4 linked regions of the Rattus norvegicus genome follow. The protein of the gene in region 4 purifies or fractionates together with the protein of the main gene of each other region. This does not show direct contact. Links are inferred from orthologs where the notes say so. Each region holds a gene or a part of one and is shown on either strand. Other genes may lie near its edges.

What was found. The genes of interacting proteins can lie anywhere in the genome.
Region 1: the proteins of Gosr1 (region 4) and Bet1l purify together in Homo sapiens (affinity purification with western blotting; 3 studies listed by BioGRID and IntAct, with this or other methods). This does not show direct contact. The link is inferred for Rattus norvegicus from reciprocal best matches to the Homo sapiens genes GOSR1 and BET1L.
Region 2: the proteins of Gosr1 (region 4) and Napa purify together in Homo sapiens (affinity purification with mass spectrometry; 3 studies listed by BioGRID and IntAct, with this or other methods). This does not show direct contact. The link is inferred for Rattus norvegicus from reciprocal best matches to the Homo sapiens genes GOSR1 and NAPA.
Region 3: the proteins of Gosr1 (region 4) and Stx12 purify together in Homo sapiens (affinity purification with mass spectrometry; 3 studies listed by BioGRID and IntAct, counting the BioPlex papers as one, with this or other methods). This does not show direct contact. The link is inferred for Rattus norvegicus from reciprocal best matches to the Homo sapiens genes GOSR1 and STX12.

The regions. Positions count from the first base shown.
Region 1 is NC_086019.1:205,361,412-205,366,379, forward strand, and holds the start of Bet1l (BET1-like protein), read right to left. Parts: upstream 3,296-4,968; 5' UTR 3,137-3,295; intron 2,492-3,136; 5' UTR 2,382-2,491; coding exon 2,363-2,381; intron 1,314-2,362; coding exon 1,222-1,313; intron 998-1,221; coding exon 941-997; intron 800-940; coding exon 632-799; 3' UTR 1-631. Other genes in the region: Ric8a (synembryn-A), read left to right, coding at 3,616-3,699, 3,988-4,035, 4,125-4,715. UniProt on the Homo sapiens protein: Vesicle SNARE required for targeting and fusion of retrograde transport vesicles with the Golgi complex. Required for the integrity of the Golgi complex.
Region 2 is NC_086019.1:85,913,846-85,918,729, forward strand, and holds the start of Napa (alpha-soluble NSF attachment protein), read left to right. Parts: upstream 1-1,589; 5' UTR 1,590-1,634; coding exon 1,635-1,732; intron 1,733-4,884. UniProt on the Homo sapiens protein: Required for vesicular transport between the endoplasmic reticulum and the Golgi apparatus. Together with GNA12 promotes CDH5 localization to plasma membrane.
Region 3 is NC_086023.1:150,373,052-150,378,139, forward strand, and holds the start of Stx12 (syntaxin-12), read right to left. Parts: upstream 3,296-5,088; 5' UTR 3,218-3,295; coding exon 3,100-3,217; intron 1-3,099. UniProt on the Homo sapiens protein: SNARE promoting fusion of transport vesicles with target membranes. Together with SNARE STX6, promotes movement of vesicles from endosomes to the cell membrane, and may therefore function in the endocytic recycling pathway.
Region 4 is NC_086028.1:62,101,901-62,106,658, forward strand, and holds the start of Gosr1 (Golgi SNAP receptor complex member 1), read right to left. Parts: upstream 3,416-4,758; 5' UTR 3,415-3,415; coding exon 3,384-3,414; intron 1,243-3,383; coding exon 1,122-1,242; intron 1-1,121. UniProt on the Homo sapiens protein: Involved in transport from the ER to the Golgi apparatus as well as in intra-Golgi transport. It belongs to a super-family of proteins called t-SNAREs or soluble NSF (N-ethylmaleimide-sensitive factor) attachment protein receptor.

The sequences.
Region 1 (4,968 bases), on a different chromosome or scaffold from region 4:
CTGTGCTCCTGGAAACATGGTCTTACAGCCCAGAAGGATCTTAGACCAGTGCCTCTGGACTGCAGTCTGCTCCTCTATCCACAGTTTGCCTCTTCCCTGGGGTCTGAATTGAGCCAGACTGCACAGGTCCATTCCTGACCAGCAGTCTCAGCCTGGTGTCACTGTCAACCCCATCCCGACGACCATCATTTGGAGAGGGCTCACGGCCACATTCCCTTCTGGTGTCAGCTTCAGACTCTTCAAGAACACGGACATGGTTTAAACCAGACATAAACAGGTTAGAGCACAACAGAAGGCCCTTGAGGAGTGTGGCCACTGGCCACGGTAGGCGCATTCAGCACTCTCAGATGCTCTCAATAGAACTGGCTCATTCTCATACAACATGGCTCTGACTCTGCCAGTGTCTTTAGCACCAGGGAGTAGCACTGGGTTTTGCCTTTTTCTTCTTCCTTCATACACAGGACAAGCCAAGAGGAGCTCGTTACGACAGAGGCAGCCGCAGTCGTCCTGACTTAGGAAGACGAATGACCCGTGATGATAATTTCAAAGGAATATTGTTTCTGTAGTCAGGTCCTTAGGAAGCCAGGATACCAGGTGGACAAGAGTCTGGCTGCCCTTGGCTCCCACTGGCTCACGTCCTTGTCCTCGACAAGAGGTAGGAGAGGATGAAGAAGGCCACAATTAAGACCACAGCCATACCACACAGAAGCTTCCGGTTGTCTCGCCCAGACCGTGCCACCGTGGAAAAGCGCTTCACACTCCCTGTGAGTAGGCCAGTCACACTTGTGAAATCTGAGTCCTGCGGGAGAGACCCAACGGGATCACATAGAGCTGGGATCTGTGACGGCCCAACTGTACTAGCGCTGAAGGGTTAGAGGCAGAAGAGCAGGCGGCATGGGGGTAGAGCTGACTATGATTTGTACGTAATACAGGCACTTACCATGCCATCTAGGTATCGGTTCTGGTCTTCCGTGTCCCTGTCGATGTCCAAAGCCAGCTGGTTGGGATACAGAAGGCACAGTCAAGCAAGGACACAGAGTGCAGTGCCCATCTTCCCTTCAGATTCTGCTAGGTACCTATTACTAGAAAAAGCTAAAAAGGCCAAGGTATTACCTGAAGCATTCCTCAGTCAGCACACCCACGGACAGCATGGCTTCCTTTCTACCCACTCAGCCCCACTCACCAAAGTGTCTCATGGAAGGGAAAAGGGCCACCACTAACCGATTTAAGCCTGGTGACCTTAGAGGCCAGGCTGTCAGCCATCCGCTTGTTCTCTCTGTCTAGAATCTCCTCCACAGCACCAGAACTCTGAGCTGCAAGACAAAGAGGCTGAAGGGTAGAATTCACTCATAAATGTGGTCCTTGGCTCCTTGCTCCAGTGGAGCCTGGCCTGGTGAGACCTCTAAGGGCATTCCACCCATATCCTTCTGCTCACTTAGCATGTTCCACCCTATGTTCCAACAGGTAGACCACCTACACACCAGACAGGAAGCATGGGTCATGGGAGTACTTGTGTGCAATGCCCAGGCAGAGACAGGGAACCAGCAGGTCAATCTACACTACCCTGTTGTATACTGTTCCTGGACCAAAATGAATATTGCCTTAGCTGAAATCACCATCTGAGAGTATGGGACAGGTCTCAATCTGGTAGGGATTATAGGGAAAACAGAACAGAACAACAAAGCAGGTGACAGGAAGGCTGTGTGGGGATGACTTAGGAATCAAGTCCAAGGTAAGTGTAAGAAAGGCCTTTTACTGTAGAAACTACCAATCCCTACTGCTACAACCCACACAGGATCTCTAGAAGCCCCAGAGCACTCTCCTGTGGAAACCTTACTCCGACGGACAGAGACTAGACATGAAGAATTTCTGTCACGGTATGTAGTTGAGAATCACCTGCCTAAGTGTGACTGGCACTGGTCTGAAGCATAAAAATCCAGCCTCGATATGACCCACCTAAGGGGAAAGCCAGCAGCACCAGCAAACAGGGGCGACCAGACTCTAAAAGACAGACGGCTGTGTCCTACCAACCACTACATAGTTAGTATAGTAGAAGCCTCAGTATCACAACTGTCAGACTGAACACAGGCACGGGGGCGGAGGGTGTGTGTGAAACGAGGCACTTGAGCCCTGTAAGTCCCTGCTTGGACCTTCTGCTTCCAGCCCTTGGCATCAACCATACACACAAACTGATGTCATGCCGGCTTGGGTTCCAAGGCAGTGCCAGTTGAAATCTGGCCCTGTTTTTCCTGGAATACGTAAGCGCCATCCCACGCAGATCCCTCCACCGAGGAAAAATTGATGGCTCGTACTCCAGACTTAGACCTTGCCTCCTATCCCAACTACCTTCAGGTGCGCTCACCTCGAGTCCAATCTGCCATCGCGCCTTCCGAGGTCCCACTCGGGGAGTAGGCAACACAGCGACGGACGTGGCACCACTACCTGGGTCTTCCGGTTCCGCCTCAGGTCTAATAACTTCCGGGAGAAGAGTCTGAAGCGGAAGAAACAGACTTGTAGTTCTACACTGGAATGTAAATAAGGGAAGGGCGGGCCGCCAGCATTCGGGCCTACGGATTGGTCAGCAGTATTAGTCCCGCGCTGTGGGTATTACCCGGAGCAGGAGCTCAGACCCCAACCTGGAGCCGAGGGTCGGGTACCTCGGGCGCTGCAAAGTCCCCAAGTGAGAACGACAGGATGGGGAGGACGAGCAGAAGCGAAAGAGACTGGCAAAGGACCTGACACTGAGTAGAGGCAAGCGCCGGTTAGCACAGCGGGCGGCATTATCCTCTGGAACATTGCTTGTGTCACCGTGGGGTGCACCGACTCTGCCTTAAGCTAAGTGGCATGCAGACCTGGCTCCCCACTATACAACGTTCCTACGCTTCTAACCCCAGACACGCCGCGGCTAGCCGCCCCTCCGTTGCTCCTCCCGCGGGAGTCGCTTTTCCACCGGTGTTCTTCACTTCCTTCTCTCCGATCCTTCCTCATACACTCTGCAATTGCCCTTTTCTTTTGATAACCACATTATTTTGGTGGTTTGGTTTTTTGATTGTTTTTAGATAGGTCTGCCCGTTTCTGCCTCTCGAGTGCTGAAATTTAAAAAAGCGTGCGTTACTATGCCCGGCTAACCACGTACATTATTTTGACCATCCAAGTCGTACTTCTCTTTCCTTATTTCCCGTGGAAGATGAGCATCAGGAAGATGACCGCGAGAATCGTCTTCCCCAACTGACTAAGCGGCCAGGAGCCGGCGCTCCCTCTTTTATCACAGTACGGGAACAAGAGTGTAAGGAGAAAGGTTTACGCGCCGGCCAAGCCACACCCCACTCCCCACCCCCGCCCGCCAGGAAGTCGGGCTAGAGAGAAGGGCTCAAAAGGAGGATACTGCTTAGTTAGCTAGCATCGCTGCTCCAAGACAAGCCGCTCAGCGGCCACAGCCGGGTTGCTCCACCTTAAGCCGGAGGCCAGCCCCGCGCCTGTACACACCCTAGGCTCGGCTGTTCTCCCAGCATTCCTCACGCGTGGACGCTGGGCTTCCGGACCTGGGCGGAGTCCCCGGGTTTGGCCGATTGCGTCTTCCCAGCCCAAGTCTTCTAGCACCCCGTGCCAGGGGCCATGGAGCCCCGGGCAGTTGCGGATGCCTTGGAGACGGGAGAGGAAGATGCGGTGACAGAAGCTCTGCGGTCGTTTAACCGAGAGGTGAGAGGCATCCAGCTGCCGAGGAAATTGCAGGAAGTGAGGAAGCAGCCGGTTGCTCGCCACTCGGCTGGGGTGTGCGTGCGAGTGTGGCAGGGAGCAGGGCGGTGGGTGGTGGGCTGGGCCACGGCGGTGCCTCTGTGGTAGTCAGGTGTATGGGTGGCGAGGGTGGGCCTTGCTTTACGTACACAGCGATGGCTGCTGCTTCAGAGGTAGAAGCAGACCTGCTGCTTCTCGAGGAGCACAGGTCCTACCTGCGTGTGGAACTGAGCTTCCTGGGTCTCCCTGCAGCATTCCCAGAGCTTCACCTTCGATGATGCACAGCAGGAGGACAGGAAGGTAGGTGTCAGCCCAAGGGGGTTCCTAGGGCAAGCACGGGCTGCCCCAAGAAGAGGGCCTAGTGGAACCATTTTTGTCCCTTCCCACAGAGACTCGCAAAGCTGCTGGTCTCCGTACTGGAGCAGGGCTTGTCACCAAAACACCGTGTCACCTGGCTGCAGACTATCCGAATCCTATCCCGAGACCGCAGCTGCCTGGACTCATTTGCTAGCCGCCAGAGTTTACACGCACTAGCCTGCTATGCCGACATTGCCATCTCAGAGGAGCCCATCCCACAGCCCCCAGACATGGATGTCCTCCTCGAGTCTCTCAAATGCCTGTGTAATCTTGTGCTCAGCAGTCCTACAGCACAGATGCTAGCAGCAGAGGCTCGACTGGTGGTGAGGCTAGCGGAACGTGTGGGACTGTACCGCAAAAGGAGCTATCCCCACGAAGTCCAGTTCTTTGACTTAAGGCTCCTTTTCCTGCTAACAGCCCTTCGCACTGATGTGCGCCAGCAGCTGTTTCAGGAGCTGCATGGCGTGCGCCTGCTGACCGATGCGCTGGAACTGACATTGGGTGTGGCCCCCAAAGAAAACCCTCTGGTGATACTTCCAGCCCAAGAGACAGAGCGGGCCATGGAAATCCTCAAAGTGCTCTTTAACATCACCTACGACTCTGTTAAGAGGGAGGTTGATGAGGTAGGTTGTAGTCTGAAGTCAATGGGTGGGACTCAGCTCAGCTGGGGCATTTTGTGGGTTTGCTTCCCTGTGTGCCTCAAGTTGCAGGGTGTCGGATATGGCAAGGACTAGAGGACAATCTAGGCAGGAACTCAAGGTTTCTGAGCTGTGTTGTGCATGGGGCTGGGGACGGGTATTCTCCATAATGCTTCAGGTGACCAAGTGTGCTGTGGACAGGGCCTAGTGATCACCATGTGGCCTTGGGTCATAAGAA
Region 2 (4,884 bases), on a different chromosome or scaffold from region 4:
TGGTGGGCATTCCCAGTGACATGAGCATTGCTTTGCAGTGAGCATTCCACTGCTCTACCCTGAAGGACCCAACTCCATGAGTGGAAGCAGCTGGCCTTATGGGTTGAGGGTATATAGTCATCTATTGCTGCACAGCTCATTGTTCCAAAAAGATGAGACCATGCAGCAAATGGAAGGGGAACCATAACTGCTTGTGGCCCTCCAGACTCACCAGCTCCGGGGTCAGAGCACAGTCGGGAGCACAGGTATATTTGGGAAAGTGCTCAATGGGAAGGAGGTGGGGGTGGGGAGATGTCTTTTGCCTTTTCCTGACCCCCAACACTCAACTCACATAACACTTTCCTCAAATGTTCTCTGCTAATCAGTAAACTTCAGTAAAGAAGAAATACAGATTCTTGCACCACAGCACACTGTTGGGACTGAAATCGCTGTGCACAGGGCCTTAGAATAACGAGATTTACAGAAAACTAGCATAGTACCAAAAGTTCTCACATAGCCAGTTTCTCTTATAGTAAGATGTTGCTCTTACTATAGTGTAGTGTATTTACTACAGCTACTGAACCACTATCAATAACTGCCCATGCTTTATTTAGACTTTTTTTTCACTAATTTTTAACAATGTTTAATGTGTAGGCCAGGGGTTGATGTCGGGAGTCTTCTTCAGTTGTTCTGCATCTTATTTTTTGAAACCAGGTCTCTTTCTGACCCTGGAGCTCATTGATTCTGCCAGACTTGCTGGCCAGCAAGCTCCAGGCATATGCCTGTCTCCCACTCACCCATTCCTGTTACAGCTACACGCTGACACACCCAGCTTTTTACATGGGTCTGGGTATCCAGTGCCATTCTGTGTGTGGCACTGCAAAATATTCTAAACGCGTTGTGTGCGTAGGTTAGAGAACAGTTTGGAGGAGTCAGTTCTCAGCCTCCACCATGTGGGTCCCTGGAATCGAACTATAGTTGTTAAACTTGCCTTTAGCAGCTGAGCCATCCAGCTAGAAATGGAGAACTTCTGGACTCCGCAAGCCAATTCTAGAGACGATCGCCAGAGGGAGTTAGAAGGTTCTTTTTTACTACAAAGCTGTTACTCCCAAGTGACTAAGACGTAAAGTGAACCAGGAGGTGGAACTAAACTGCTGGGTCTGTCAAACCTCGAGAACGAACCTTGAGGCGTCACGTGAGCGCCGAGAAACTGGTCAGCTGATCAGTGCTTCCCAGTTCCGCCGAGGCGTGGCGGAACAGATCTATGGAGCCTGCTGATTGGTTGGAAGGAGTCAAAGGTCGCGTTTTGTGGGGGGTGGGGGAGAAATTGGCACTTGGCGGTGCGAGCTTATGATTGGCTTACTTGGTGTCACGTGGCAGTGCGCTCTAGGGTTCTAGGAGGCTAGCAGCGTCAGACCTCGGGCGTGTGCTCACGTGTTGCGGGTCAAGGTGCGGAGTGCGGTAGCCGGAGGGGCGTGCCGGGACGAGAGTGCTTCGCAGCTTGAACCCTCTGGTTGGCTCTCACGGTTCACGTGGGATAGCAGACCCGGGTGACGTCAACGTAGCGGGCGGAGCTCCGCTGAGTGCGCGTTGTCCCGGGCCTGTGAGTCGTAGCTTGGCTGTGTCGGGCCTGAACCGAGCAGCTGCGCGACGTCATGGACACCTCCGGGAAGCAGGCTGAGGCTATGGCGCTGCTGGCTGAAGCGGAGCGCAAGGTGAAGAACTCGCAGTCCTTCTTCTCCGGCCTCTTTGGGTGAGCAGCGGGCGAGGTTGGGCCCAAGGCGGGGAAGAGCGGGCTCTTCTGCTCTCTGCACTTTGGGAGCCCCTCTGCGGCCTTGCAGGTTCTGAGGGTGGCCCTGTGGCTGACGGCCCTGTGGCTGAATGGTAGCCGCGCCTTTCCCAGGCCGGTAACCGTGGATCTGTGCGGCCCAGGCTGCCGGGGTGAGGACACCAGACCGAGGGCACCCGGGCTGGGGCGACCCTGGGCATGATGAGCCGGAGTACGAGGTGTGAGGGTAGTGGCTTCCTGCTGAGAGTGACTGATGGCAAGTAACTAAGGAGACCTGGACTGAGAGGTGGAAACTTGGGGGTTGGGGGGGGCAGCCATAAACAGACAGTGACACTGGTTTGGTCAAGGAAATGGCTATGGGAGGATGAGGCAACCAGGAGAATCAGAGTAGGGTAGAGGTCCTCAAGTCTGGGGTCTGAACACACCCAGGAGGTGGCAGGTACCTCACACAAAGTTTATGCAAGTTCGACATCTTCAGCCATATTAACTTGGGAGCAGAAGAACCCATGCTTGGGATGTAGTTCCGAGGTTTCTTTATTTTAGGGGAGTACGTTTCCCTGAAAGGGCTCATTGGTAAAAACTAACTGACTGCAGAAGTTTGTTGTGAGTATGAACTATGTATAATGTGCTCAGAATTGAGCCCTCTGAAAGGCTTACCAGCCAGGAAGAAGCAGAGTCAGAGAGTGTAAGATGCTGGTGGGGAGACCAAGATGGTAGGACAGGAGAGCTTGAGGAGCTCTGAGGAGAGGGCCAGCTGTTTACCACTTCCCACCACTGATAGAGCAGAGCCTTGGGGTGTAGGAAGGGTAAGGGGAGACGACACTGCATGGGAGCAGGCAAGACTCCTGAGGGAACAAGCAGAGAGGAGCACTGGGGAAAGGTCCAAGCAGGTGTCGAGGAAGAGCTGTGCTCAGGGTAGGACACAAAATCAAGCCTCCGAAACAAGGATTGAAGAAGACAGAAGACTCCTAGGAAGTTGGGGGAAGGCTGGGAGAAAAGCCCTGGGTTCTGGGAGAGACTGTTAGGAGCTGGGTGAGGACAGAAAGACATGAAGTGGGGGAGAGGATGAGGCTACCCTTTTGTTGTTTGACATTAGATAATGTTTATCAAAGGAACTTGAAAAATGTTTGTACCTGCTGCTGAGACATCTGGCTAGTGACAGGCTGTGTCAGTTAGATGAAAATGTTTCATTTGAGAGAGAGAGAGAGAGAGAGAGAGAGAGAGAGAGAGAGAGAGAGAGTGTGTGTGTGTGTGTGTGTGTGTGTGTGTGTGTATAGAGGCATGGTAGTGGGATGGCACCTCCAACTCAGTTTTCATCAGTAGTTTTCCTGATGGCTCAGAGTCTGGTCTCTTTGGCCCAGAGAGATAAGTGTATACTTGGCTGCTCCAAGGGAGCAGCTGTGTGTCCCTGTTTACCACTTCCCAACCACTGATAGAGCAGAACTGTGGGGTGTAAAGGCCAGTTTATCACACACACAAAGTTCTCGAGCTGAAAAGAAACTTTGAGAACTTGAGGGAGGTTTTTGGTGAGGAGTGAGGCTGAGAACAGTGGTCTGGGAGGGCAGTCTAGGCTGCAGGGATGGTGGGAATGAAGCTCGCTCTGGTGCAAAAGAGCTTCTGCCCAGAATGTAGAGGACAGGGACAGAGATGGCTTCCTAGAGGATGAGCCTCCATCCCAGGGCTGAGCAGGAGATCTCAGGTCTCTCAGTTGGAGAGCAGCAGAAAGGACAAGCTTGAGAAAGGGCCCAGAAGCCTGCCTGCTGAAGGAAGGGTTAGCATAGGCAGAATTCCAAGTCAGACTGTGACTTGAAAAGGGGGGAGCAGAGGCTGGACATAGATGAGGACTGTGAGTATGGGCTTGGAGTTGAGGTACTGGGGAGCCTGCAGGATTTTAGTGAGGGCCTGTTAAAATGACTTCCTCTTTTACCCTTTAGAAAAAAAACAAAACCCACAACAGCTGGTTGTGGGACAGTATGTGGGACCCTGTTACAGTGATAGTGGATCATGCCTGCCAGTTGTTCACGCTACTGCCCAGCCTTGCCTGGCCAGGCAGTCAGCCTTATGTAGTCCCCACAAGATCACTGTGGAGGTGGGTAAAAGATAAAGGGAGCAGTCTAAACTTGATTCATTTGTCTAGCAGCACAGGAAGCTGAGGAGGCACCAGGTGGTCAGACCTGGCCCATGTAGGCTTATAGTCCCCCCTCCATTAGTCTGATACCTCTGACACCCAGAGAGTCCCAGACACTCAGGCCTGCTTGTGGGCACTACATGTAGGGAGGGTGTTGGCAGACTAGTTTGGGGTGCTACCTCCCTTAGGCTGCTGCCTGCCCCCACAGTAGTTTTCTACAAACATTTGAAGGAGCAGGTGCATTTCTTCTGGTCCTTCCAGGAAGAATAGAGGAGGTAGGGAAGTGAGCAAGGCCCACTGGAACTCAGGGTCCTTGGAGGTACCCTGAGATAACCTGGAGAGAAACCACCACCAGGTGGGCCCTGCTCTGGCCCACCACTGGGGCTGCCTGGTAAACATTTGACAAGCAGCCTTTCCCCAGCTGCTCACCAAGGCTTCTTCTGCTCTATGGAATGTCTGTGTTAAGGGCTTGCCAAGTTAAGAGGCCTCTGCTCAGGTTACACGGGTCAAGTAGGCTATTCTCACCCATCTTCACACTTCTGGATTTGTGGGCTGGTAGACACTAGGGGGCTTTAAGGCACCATTTAGTTTAAGGTCAAAGCCTTTTTAGCCCTTCCCTTGCTGGTGGGCATACCTGCCTGAGAGTTTGGATACCCGTTACCTCCTCTTGTTCCTCTGCTGTGCACCATAGGGACTGAATTGGTCCTGAAGGGCAGTTCTGTTCTGTAGGGCTCTAACCGATCCCTAACTTTGCCCTACCACCTTCCCTTCAAAAACAAAAGACCAGCATTTGGGAACGAAAGGCTGGCACATCTCTGTAAATTTGACGTCAGTTTGGTATATACATAGCGTGCCAGTTGTGGGCTTGGAGTTGAGGTACTGGGGAATTGGGGAGTTCCTTGACAAGACAAGGCCAGGGTGACGCCTCTTCCCAGCATTTTTCTATGGAGTAAGCAGGCTGACTTGGAGCATGGTGATTATTGTTGAC
Region 3 (5,088 bases), on a different chromosome or scaffold from region 4:
CAGCATTTAGGAGGCAGAGGCAAGTGGATCTCTGAGTTTGACGACAGCCTGGTCTACAGAGCAAGTTCCAGGACAGCCAGGGCTACACAGAGAACCCTGTCTTAGAAAAAATAAATCATCTCCTGAGAGAGGCTGTCCTCACCAGGGGATGGTAATTCTCCCTTCCCTCCATGCACTTAGCCTGCTCCATTTCCTTCGCACCACCTGCTATGACTTGATATTATTGGTAAATGCATGCAAACATCCACACGATGTCATGCAGAAGTTCGTTCTCTGCTCCTTACCAGTGAACATCAGTGCTCAAAGAATGGTCGCTGCACCCTGAGTGAAAGAACCCATCATATGCTTGGGACAGAGGTAAACAGCAGAAAAACAAAGATGAATGAACCATGTTTCCTACCTCAAACAGCTAACAATCTAGCAGAGAAGATGAGTATATTACAAAGAAAAAACAAAAAGAAATGAAAAACACACATTCAGCTAGGCAATTCTTTCTTTTTTTTCTTTTTTAAAGATTTTATTTTATGTGAGTACACTGTCTTCAGAAGAGGGCATCGGATCCCATTACAGATGGTTGTGAGCCACCATGTGATTGCTGGGAATTGAACTCAGGACCTCTGGAAGAGCAGTCAGTGCTCTTAACCACTGAGCCATCTCTCCAGCCCCAGCTAGGCAATTCTTTAACTTTTCTCAGCCTGTTTCCTACCTCATAACCTAGGAATATTTGTAATTACTCTACAGGGCTGTTACCGGTTAGGATATTACATGTAAAGCACTTTGCATATGGCCTAGCACACTATGTACTTAAACAGCAGCTAGTAACATTATTAATTATTGACTCTAAGGATCCAATGCCTAATCAGCACTAAATCAGTATCTATCACCAAGAAAACCACTCCTATTCCCCACCATCACCTTTCTTCGTTGTTTTGCTTTAAGACTCACTCTATAGCTCAGGCTGGCTTTGAACCCATGGAAACTGTCTTGCCTTGGTCTCCTGAGAGCCAGGGTTACAGACCTGACTCATCACACCTAGGCTTTGGTTTTAAACCCCTTCTCTGTTCCTCCTTCCTCTTATCCCTTTTTCCTTTTGAAAAGAGACTCAGATGTGGCCCAGGATGGCCTTGAACACACTAGTCAGTCTAGATTTGCCTCTAAGTAATGATAATCCTCCTGCTTCGGCCTCTCAAATGCTATTGTGTGCCAACTATGCCCAGTTTCAACTCTAAATTTTGATTTAAGTGAACACAGACTTGTGATTAAAAGAATCTGTATCAGTTCCTAAGCTTACTATACAACTTAATGCTCAGATATGAAATACCCACAGATAGACATTCAAACTAGGTTAGTGTCAATGAGAAAACTCCAGTCTTGAGAAAACACAATTTTTCTTTCTTTCTCCCTCACACCCCCTTTTTTTTTCTTCTTTCTGGTGGTTCAAAACAAGGTTCCTCTGTATAGCCCTGGCTGTCCTGGAACGCTACCAACAGGCTAGCCTCTGACACTCAGAGATCTGCCTGCCTCTACCTCTCAAGTGCTGGAATGAAAGGTCTGCCCCACCAACACCTTGCACAAAATTCTCTTTAAAATTTTTTTATTATTATTGTATTATGATATGTGGAATATACACACAAATTAATATAAACACACACTCTATGTGCCAGGGAACGAGTATGGATGAGTGTGGAGGTCAGAGGACAGTTCTGTGGAGTCAATTTGCTCCTTCCACGTTATCTGGGTTCTGGGGCTCAAATCAGGTTGTTAGGCCTTCGCAGCAAGCACTTTACCTAAGCCATCTTGCCAGCCCCTTGAATAAGAAATTTCTGATTTAACCTGTATTACAGCTCCAAAATAAAAGGAAACTGGGACACAAAGTACCATACTGTCTGTCTAGTCATCAATAGTATTATTGTGTTTTTAATATCTGGGTTGACAAGCTGACTATCCTTCCTACCTCCAAATCTAACCCTTCCCACCTGAAATCATCTACCTCTCAAATTCTACAGTATACATTTAGATTTAAAAGCAAAGTAACAAGCTGGGTGTGGTGGTGCACATTATTAATTCCAGCACTTGGGAGGCAGGTGGATCTCTCATTTTGAAGCCAGCCTGGTCTACAGGATGAGTTGCAGGGCAGTCAGAGCTATCGAAAAACTGTTTCAAAAATTAAAGTAAAAGCAAAGTGATAGCTTATGTTTTAAAGTTTAGGACATAATTGTAATTTAGAACTGACTCTACCTATTAACAGAGTATAGCTAAGCTCACAAAAAAACACAATGATAAACCCCATAGATGGTTGTCACTATTTTAAAAGTAAAATTGCTTCTGTTGTTCTGTTTACAAGGCTCTGGGCCGATTCTGAGGCTCAAAAAACCACTTTACACTTTAATGGTGAGAAGGGAGTTTTAAGGTAAGCAGTTACAAACTGACTTTGTACCAGGCAGAAAATGAAATCTTCATGTTTTGAAATTTTAAAAACGTCTTTGCTACAAAAGACAACCTAAACTAAAATGTTCCCGGTGCATTCTCCGCCATAAAACAGGAGTCCCTCCCCCCTTAAATACCAGTCATTGACTGATTTCCAGATTAATTACCAGGAAGCACAGTGTGTTAAATCACCCAAAATGCACGCATTCTCCACTTCCCTTAATTGAAAGTTGCTGATGTCCGAGGACCCAACCGCCGAGCAGAATGTGAACCTAAAGTCGCAACCAGTAAGCACCCCCCTGATCCGAACTGAGGAAAACAAGGTGGGTGGGGAGACGGGGACGACTGGAAAAACTCGGCTGACCACTGCGCCATGTCAACCCTGTGCTCACAGTCCTAGAGATGACACACACTCTCTCCCACCCTCTGGCTGTCGGCTCTGTTGACCCCCAGCACCGTCAACTCACAACCCCGAAGACAGGGGTGTGGACCTAAAGGGCCCGAGCCTGACCGACCCGGGAGAAGGCAGCTCGCCGCGCCGGGAGTGGAGGCTCGCGGCTGCCTCAGGTTTGGCCGTAGCTGAGGCCCCGATCCGGCTCCGCGTCTTAGCAGCTTCACCCAGGCCTGTCCCTGAGGCCGCACCCCCGCTCCCGGCTGGGTCCCCTCGCTCACTGGCTTGGCTGATCCGCTGGATGTTGCCACTGCATGTCTGGATGATGCTGTTGAAGTCACGGGGCTGAGGCCCCGACGGCCCGGGATTCCGATACATGTCTAAGGGACCGTAGGACATGACACGGAGCAGAGACCGGGGTCGCGCTTCACGGCGCTCCTACCGGAAGCTGCCACTGACCGGGCCCAGTAGCTGAGAGGAAAACCGGGAAGAGAGAGGGCGGGGAAGGGGCCGTGACTGCGTACACACTGACCCCGCCCATTGCGGTGCGCATGCGCACGCCCCGCCCCATCCCGCAGTGCGCGTGTGCTGCTGGAACTGACGGTAGGTAGTGTCTTGAGAGTTTTCAAACTGCTGGGAGTAAGCGTTCTCGCAAGACTGGACACCTCTAGCTATGCAGCCAACTCAGGACCTGACTTCTTACCCCAGTCTCCTACAGACGGCGTGCCCCGCGCTCAACAACCTGCCTGCCACCAACATGCTCGTCCGCATCCTGCTGCTCGGCGCAGCACTGCTGCTCAGCCACCCTGCAAATTCTCGCTTTTTCAACCCATGGCAAAACAGAGGTGAATGCACGAGCATGGGATTGGACCAGTACAATTCTGTTGTACCCGACAGAATTCGATGGTGAAAACTGTTCAACACCTACATTTCTAACAAGAATGAAGTTACTACCGAAACCAACCGCCAACACGGTGTACTCCGTGCTTACCCACTTCAAGGGATTCTGGAACATTGTCAATATCATTTCCTAACTTTGAGGCCATTCTGGTATACAGGCCATTCTGTGAGTTCCAGGACAGCTAAGGTGACACAGAGAAACCCTGTCTCGAAACACACACACACACACACACACACACACACACACAAAACCAACAAATAAAAAACATTCCCTTCCTGCGGAATTCAGTCATGAGATATATTGCCAGTTAGATCGCATTTGGCTGACAGCCCACCAACTTAAAATGTGCACCACACCGACGAAAACTGGGCTGCCTTCCCCAGCCTCTCCTACTACATCAAAGCCCCTCCTCCTGTGACAGATAACTAACTGCTTGACTCCCGACTCCGACTCTGGATGTGTAAAAGGGAAGAAGAGACTTTCTGATTCAAAAGGTTATGGGAAAAGTTCTAAGAAAAAAATTCATTCCTGATCCCCGAGGCATGAATATGATTTTGCATTCTTCTCCCAGTATTTCAAGACAGACCAGAGACTTACATTCGCCAGAGGATTGGGCCACGGAGTTGCCATAAGCCATGTTTTTGGTGAAACTCCAGATAGACACCATAAACTGCTCCTTTCCTTTTATTTTAATTATTTTTATGCTCAGCGGTGTTTTGCCTATGTGAGGGTGTCAGAAGCCCTGGAATTGGGGTTACAGACAGCTGTGAGCTGCTGTGTGGTTGCTGGGAATTGAGCCTGTGTCCTTTGGAAGAGCAGCCAGTGTTCTTGACTGTTCAACCATCTCTCCAGCCCCAAACTTTGCCTTTTCAAGGATGAAAAATTGAAGTGTCAGGTAATTGATGAAAAGGTATATTCTTTCATCAGAGAGATCAGGGACACTCAGGTGGAGGCAAGCTACCCACATCACACCCCAAACACCTGCAGTTAGCTGCGGGGGGCGAGAGATCTTGGGTCTGACAACTGGTCACATGGTATAAGCTACAATATGAACCAGCCCCACAAATCCCACGGAAGCCTTACTAATCATTTGAGGAGCTCAGGAGAAAAAGAGGCGGCTAAGTTGGAAGCTTTCTGTGGTGACATCGATCCTGTCCTCTCCTGCTGTTAGAAAAGCCTCTTCCAGATGCTGTCTCTGGGGAGACCCTAGTTGAAATCGAGGCACCATTCTCCTTGGAAGGGCTTACATCTAATCTTATCTGTTCTCACTACTAGAAGCCAAGCACGTTTGGGGAAGTAGGTTTTAAGATCACCAATGCTGCCTCAATTCAGTGTCTCAACTTCAGTAACATGAAGGTCCCTTCATTCA
Region 4 (4,758 bases):
CTGGCACACTGTATCTGCTGCTCTTTAAATATTTGCTGAATGAATGAGTAACAGGGTAATCTCTACTACTCAATACTCCATATTCACTATTCTTAGGACAGTAGAGAAGTCTAGGGAACTGGTTTTAAAAAAACTCATTGTCAGGGTTGGTTATGAGCACTGACTGCTCTTCCAGAGGTCCTGAATTCAATCCCAGCAACCACGTGGTGGCCCACAACCATCTGTAATGGAAATTCTTCGAGTGTATCTGAAAACAATGACAATGTATGTATATAAAACAAATAAATTAATTTTAAAAAAAAACCCACCCAAACCCCTCATTCTCTACATTAGGATTCAGCTGAATTTACTTGACTTAGTAGGTATGAGAGTCCTTGGCTCTCAAAGTCCCGAGTTGCCTAGAAGAAAAGTCCTGTTCACTGATGACCTTATTCACTGATATGCTTCCGATCCAGCAATCAAAATGAACACTGAGCATAGACTGTCCGTCTTCACTTTCCAGAGCTGGAGACTACAGGTCCCGGACACAGAGCATTGGGCAGCTCCTCAGTTCCACTCAGAAATTAGAAAAAAAAGCCATCAGCCAGAGGGTGGTGGTGCAGCAGCCCTGGAGGCAGAAGCAGGGGATCTCTGAGTTCAAGGCCAGCCTGGTCTACAGGGAGAGTTCCAGGACAGCCAGGGCTACAGGGACAAACTCTATCTTGAAATACAAAAACAAAACAAGAGAAAACAAAAACCATGTGGGCAAACCAGACATTTCTGAGGACCGAGAATGAAATTTCTTTGGCTTTGCCATGGAGCCCAGAATGAATTTACATCATGTGTCCCCTGTCTTATCCTCCTAGTGCTGGCAAAGGTGTACAGGCCTGGCTTCCAAACTATTGATACACTCTAGATGTTTCTCCTGAGCTATCACCGTTTGTCTAAGATCTCAGATAAATGCTGGCCTCATGAATTAGGAAGAATTTCAGTAAGACACACACATACAGACAGAGACACAAAGATAATGACAAGGAAATCGAAACGTCCACAGTTCAGCAGCAGACCCAGTCACAGAGGTCTACATGTCAGTTTCCTTATAAAAGCATCACCGAGTTTAAGGCATACGAATCTGGCAGTACCTATACCTATCGCGGCCTCCATCCCGGGCGCTGCTGTGACTGTAACTCGTACACAGTTTACTGAAGGAAACTAGTTTCAGGTCAAGTTCATTTTCCAGCTGTCGAGCTTGTTTCCTAAGATCTTTAAGAAAATGACAAAAGTAAATCAGTAGTCCATCAGTAGACATTAAATTCATGACTATTTTAAGAAAGCCAACTATGAAAATGATCACATAATGATCTCTGATCTAGTTACTCAGAAACCAAAGGCGTATCTAAGAAAGTAAACTGGCTAAGTAACCTTCAGAGGGAGCAATGAGGGAAGCCATTGTGGGAGACACACAACCTGTCACTTTTCTTTCAAAGACAGCTTGACAGCCAGTGCCACAACATCCCTGAGAATTACGGTAATAACCATCTGTTATAACTTGAAGGGCAACAAGGAGCGAATATAAATCACGAGGAAATGAAGATAGTTTATTATCCTCACATCGGTTTACCTGCTAACTGTAAGAAGCCAGCATTCTTTTTGACACATTTTTCTTTTTATGTTTCAAAAGTGTTAGGAATTTGGAACTTTTTTTTTCCATACAGGCAAGACATCTTAGCAATTAAACACAAGGAAAAACCAAATTAACAAATAAATAAAAATCGCTTTTTCAAAAACATTGAGGGGTCCAGTAAAAACAAACAATACACTATGAACAAGACAGAATACAACTGTGACAGTTTTTGGTTTTTTTTTTTTTTAAAAAACGTATGTTTTAAAAGTAGAAGCGATCAGATAAACTGGTGTAGCAGCCTGGTTTCTAAAGGGCTAAATGAAAGAAGCCATACTTGGAAACCCGTGTGTGTGTGTGTGTGTGTGTGTGTGTGTGTGTGTGTGTGTGTGTGTGTGTGTTCATGGTGGAGTTCAAATGAAAGGAGTAAAATACAGGTAGGAATAATGTAAGAATGTCTCAGGACTAAAGAATATCAAGACACTGTTTCATTACATTTTGCAATCAAAGGCAGGAAGCAGAATTATATGGTGGAATACACCTACCCAGAGACCAAATCCCACTGTCAATGACAGCTCAGCCACCTACTGTCTTTGAGATTTATAGACAATTCAGTTAACTTAAAAACCTCAGGGCTTCAGTTTTTCTATGCATGCTTAAAGCATCTGGTACAAGGTATATTGTCAGTCTGCTCTAATTAGTAACGGCATAATGTTTCAAAAACCCATAGCCTAATGACCATCAGAGGTGCCAGCAGCCACTTCTACATCGTTTAAAAAGAAATTTTAGCTACAACCATATTTCCAATGGGCATTTTAAATACATGTTTCTCTGTAATTCTATTTATTTATTCAGTCTAATGGAAAACAAACACAAAGCATTTTGAAAATATGACATAACATAAAATTCAGTCCCTTAGACCTACTGGCTGATGGTGACAATACCATATTTTCCAGGGGCTTCATGGGACAAAAAGAGGAAAAGGTTTAAAAACTAACTAACTAACTAACTAACTAACTAAATAAATAAATAAATAAGGAAGCAAACAGTTAAATGAAAAAAGGGTGCCATTTTTGATCTTCTTGGATCACTGTGGTCTAGGAAAGTTTTGTGTGGCCTCACTTGAGTGGGCCAGATTTTCAGGAATTAAAGAACACAACTGAATGTTTTCTTGGCGGGAGAAGAATGGCAAATGTATTCATTAGAACCCTTTTACTATCACTTTTAACAAAACCGATCTTGGAGTCCAGGGCAGAAGGTATTTATTTTCAGTATTCTGTCATCCAGTCGTTAATAAAGTCTCAATCTCAAATTGCCAGTTGGGGTCCAGGAGGCGACAGTCCACTCAAACTCCCCGCAAGGCCGGCACAGACAAGTTCCACCTCACTCTTAGTTTTCTGACAGTGACCTCAACTGCAAGGTTCTGACTACTCATCTTCCGGGCTCTGGATCTTGTCGCTCAACATTCTCCCAAGAGCTCGTCCCCGCAGCCCCATCCTGAGAACCTCACCACCCTTCAGACACTTCCATCTGGAGCCTCAGGAGCCTCTTCCTCTCCATCCTGGCTCCCTCCACTCTGAGACCCAACCCCTTCCCAGGTCCGGTTCACTCCGCCCCAGCTCCTTCCCCAAGTTCCCAGGCCCAGGGTTCCTCTCGGACAAACTCATCCAGAAGTATGGCCGTTCCTGAGGCCTGGCTTTTCCCTCTGCTGCTCCCCTCAAGATCCAGCCTCACTAAGTCCCCTCTGCACCCGGCGGGACCCACTCAGAGGCCTCGCCCTCACCTTCCCAGTAATTGCTGGTTCCCGCCGCCATCTTTGTTGCCCAACGTCAGTCGGGACAGGCAAGTAGAGGCCCTGAGTGCCAGAGAGTCACCTCCACGCCTTCTTCCACCCCGAGCGCCAAGGCTGATGGGATACAGGAGCCTCCGTAGACACTGCCACCTGGTGGACCATTCGTTATTTTACAGCTTTAAGTAGCACGTTTGAAATTTTGGTTTAGCTGTTCTGGGTGTTCATACCACATCTTTCTGAACCTTCAATCGTTCATCTCGGATTGTTCTTCTTTTCAGCAGATGACCTAGAGGAGAGATACAGTTTTCTTTATCTCCCCTTAAATAAGATGTCTTGGGAATAGGGGCGGGGGTGCGTGTAGCTCAATGAGCAAGGTGCCTTGTAAGAGGGTGTGGATTCGGGCTGGGGATTTAGCTCAGTGGTAGAGCGCTTACCTAGGAAGCGCAAGGCCCTGGGTTCGGTCCCCAGCTCCAAAAAAAAAAGAGGGTGTGGATTCGATCCCCCGCACTTCATAAACAGAACATGGTGGCAAATGCCTTTAATCCTAGTACTCAGAAGATGAGCATAGAAAGACCAGAAATTCAAGGTCATCTTCAGCTACATAGGGAGTTCAAGGCCAGCTAGGATAAATGTCTCGGAGGAGGAAGAGGAGAAAAGAAGGAAAGAAGACGGAAAGGAAGGAAGGAAGGAAGGAAAGAAGAAGAAAAGAGAAAAGTATCTTCAATCAGCATTTTCCTTTCTCAGAGCCTTTTCTGATCTTACTTTCCAGCTCTGCCCGTCTTCCACCCTCCAGCATGTGAAGCTTTCTTCCCTGGATGGTTTTCCTATGTCTACAGCAGAGCCTCAGTCCTCTGTCCTTTGCTAACAGGCAGTTTCCATGTGCCCACAACCTGAAGCTCACTGATTTAGACTAGCTGGCTAGCAAGCCTCAGTTTTGCCTCCCCAGTGCTGGGATTACAGTCATATGCTGCTACGCCTGGCTTTTTCATATATGTCCTAGGTAGTTATCTTAACTCACTTCCTAATGCTCGTATGCCAAGCAATTTATTGTTTGGGTATAAAATGCATGATGTTAATAAGTGATGTGGTGTTTAAGTTCATTAAGAAGCTGACTGTGAACATAGGGTTGCCACCCCGTCCATGTCCCTGCCATAAACACACTTACTACCCAAACAAGTCACTCTTAAAGTGTCCGAAAGACCCCCTGACTGGGGATGGACTGGCTGGCTGGCCCTAGGAGAAAGCAGAAGCAGGATAGTGAAATGGCCTAAAGAGTAAAAACACCGGCTCCACAAGGACAGAAGGAGAGTAAGTATTTGAGTCAAAATACTATGTCCTTGATCACAGTGGGAGGGCCACTTATTCC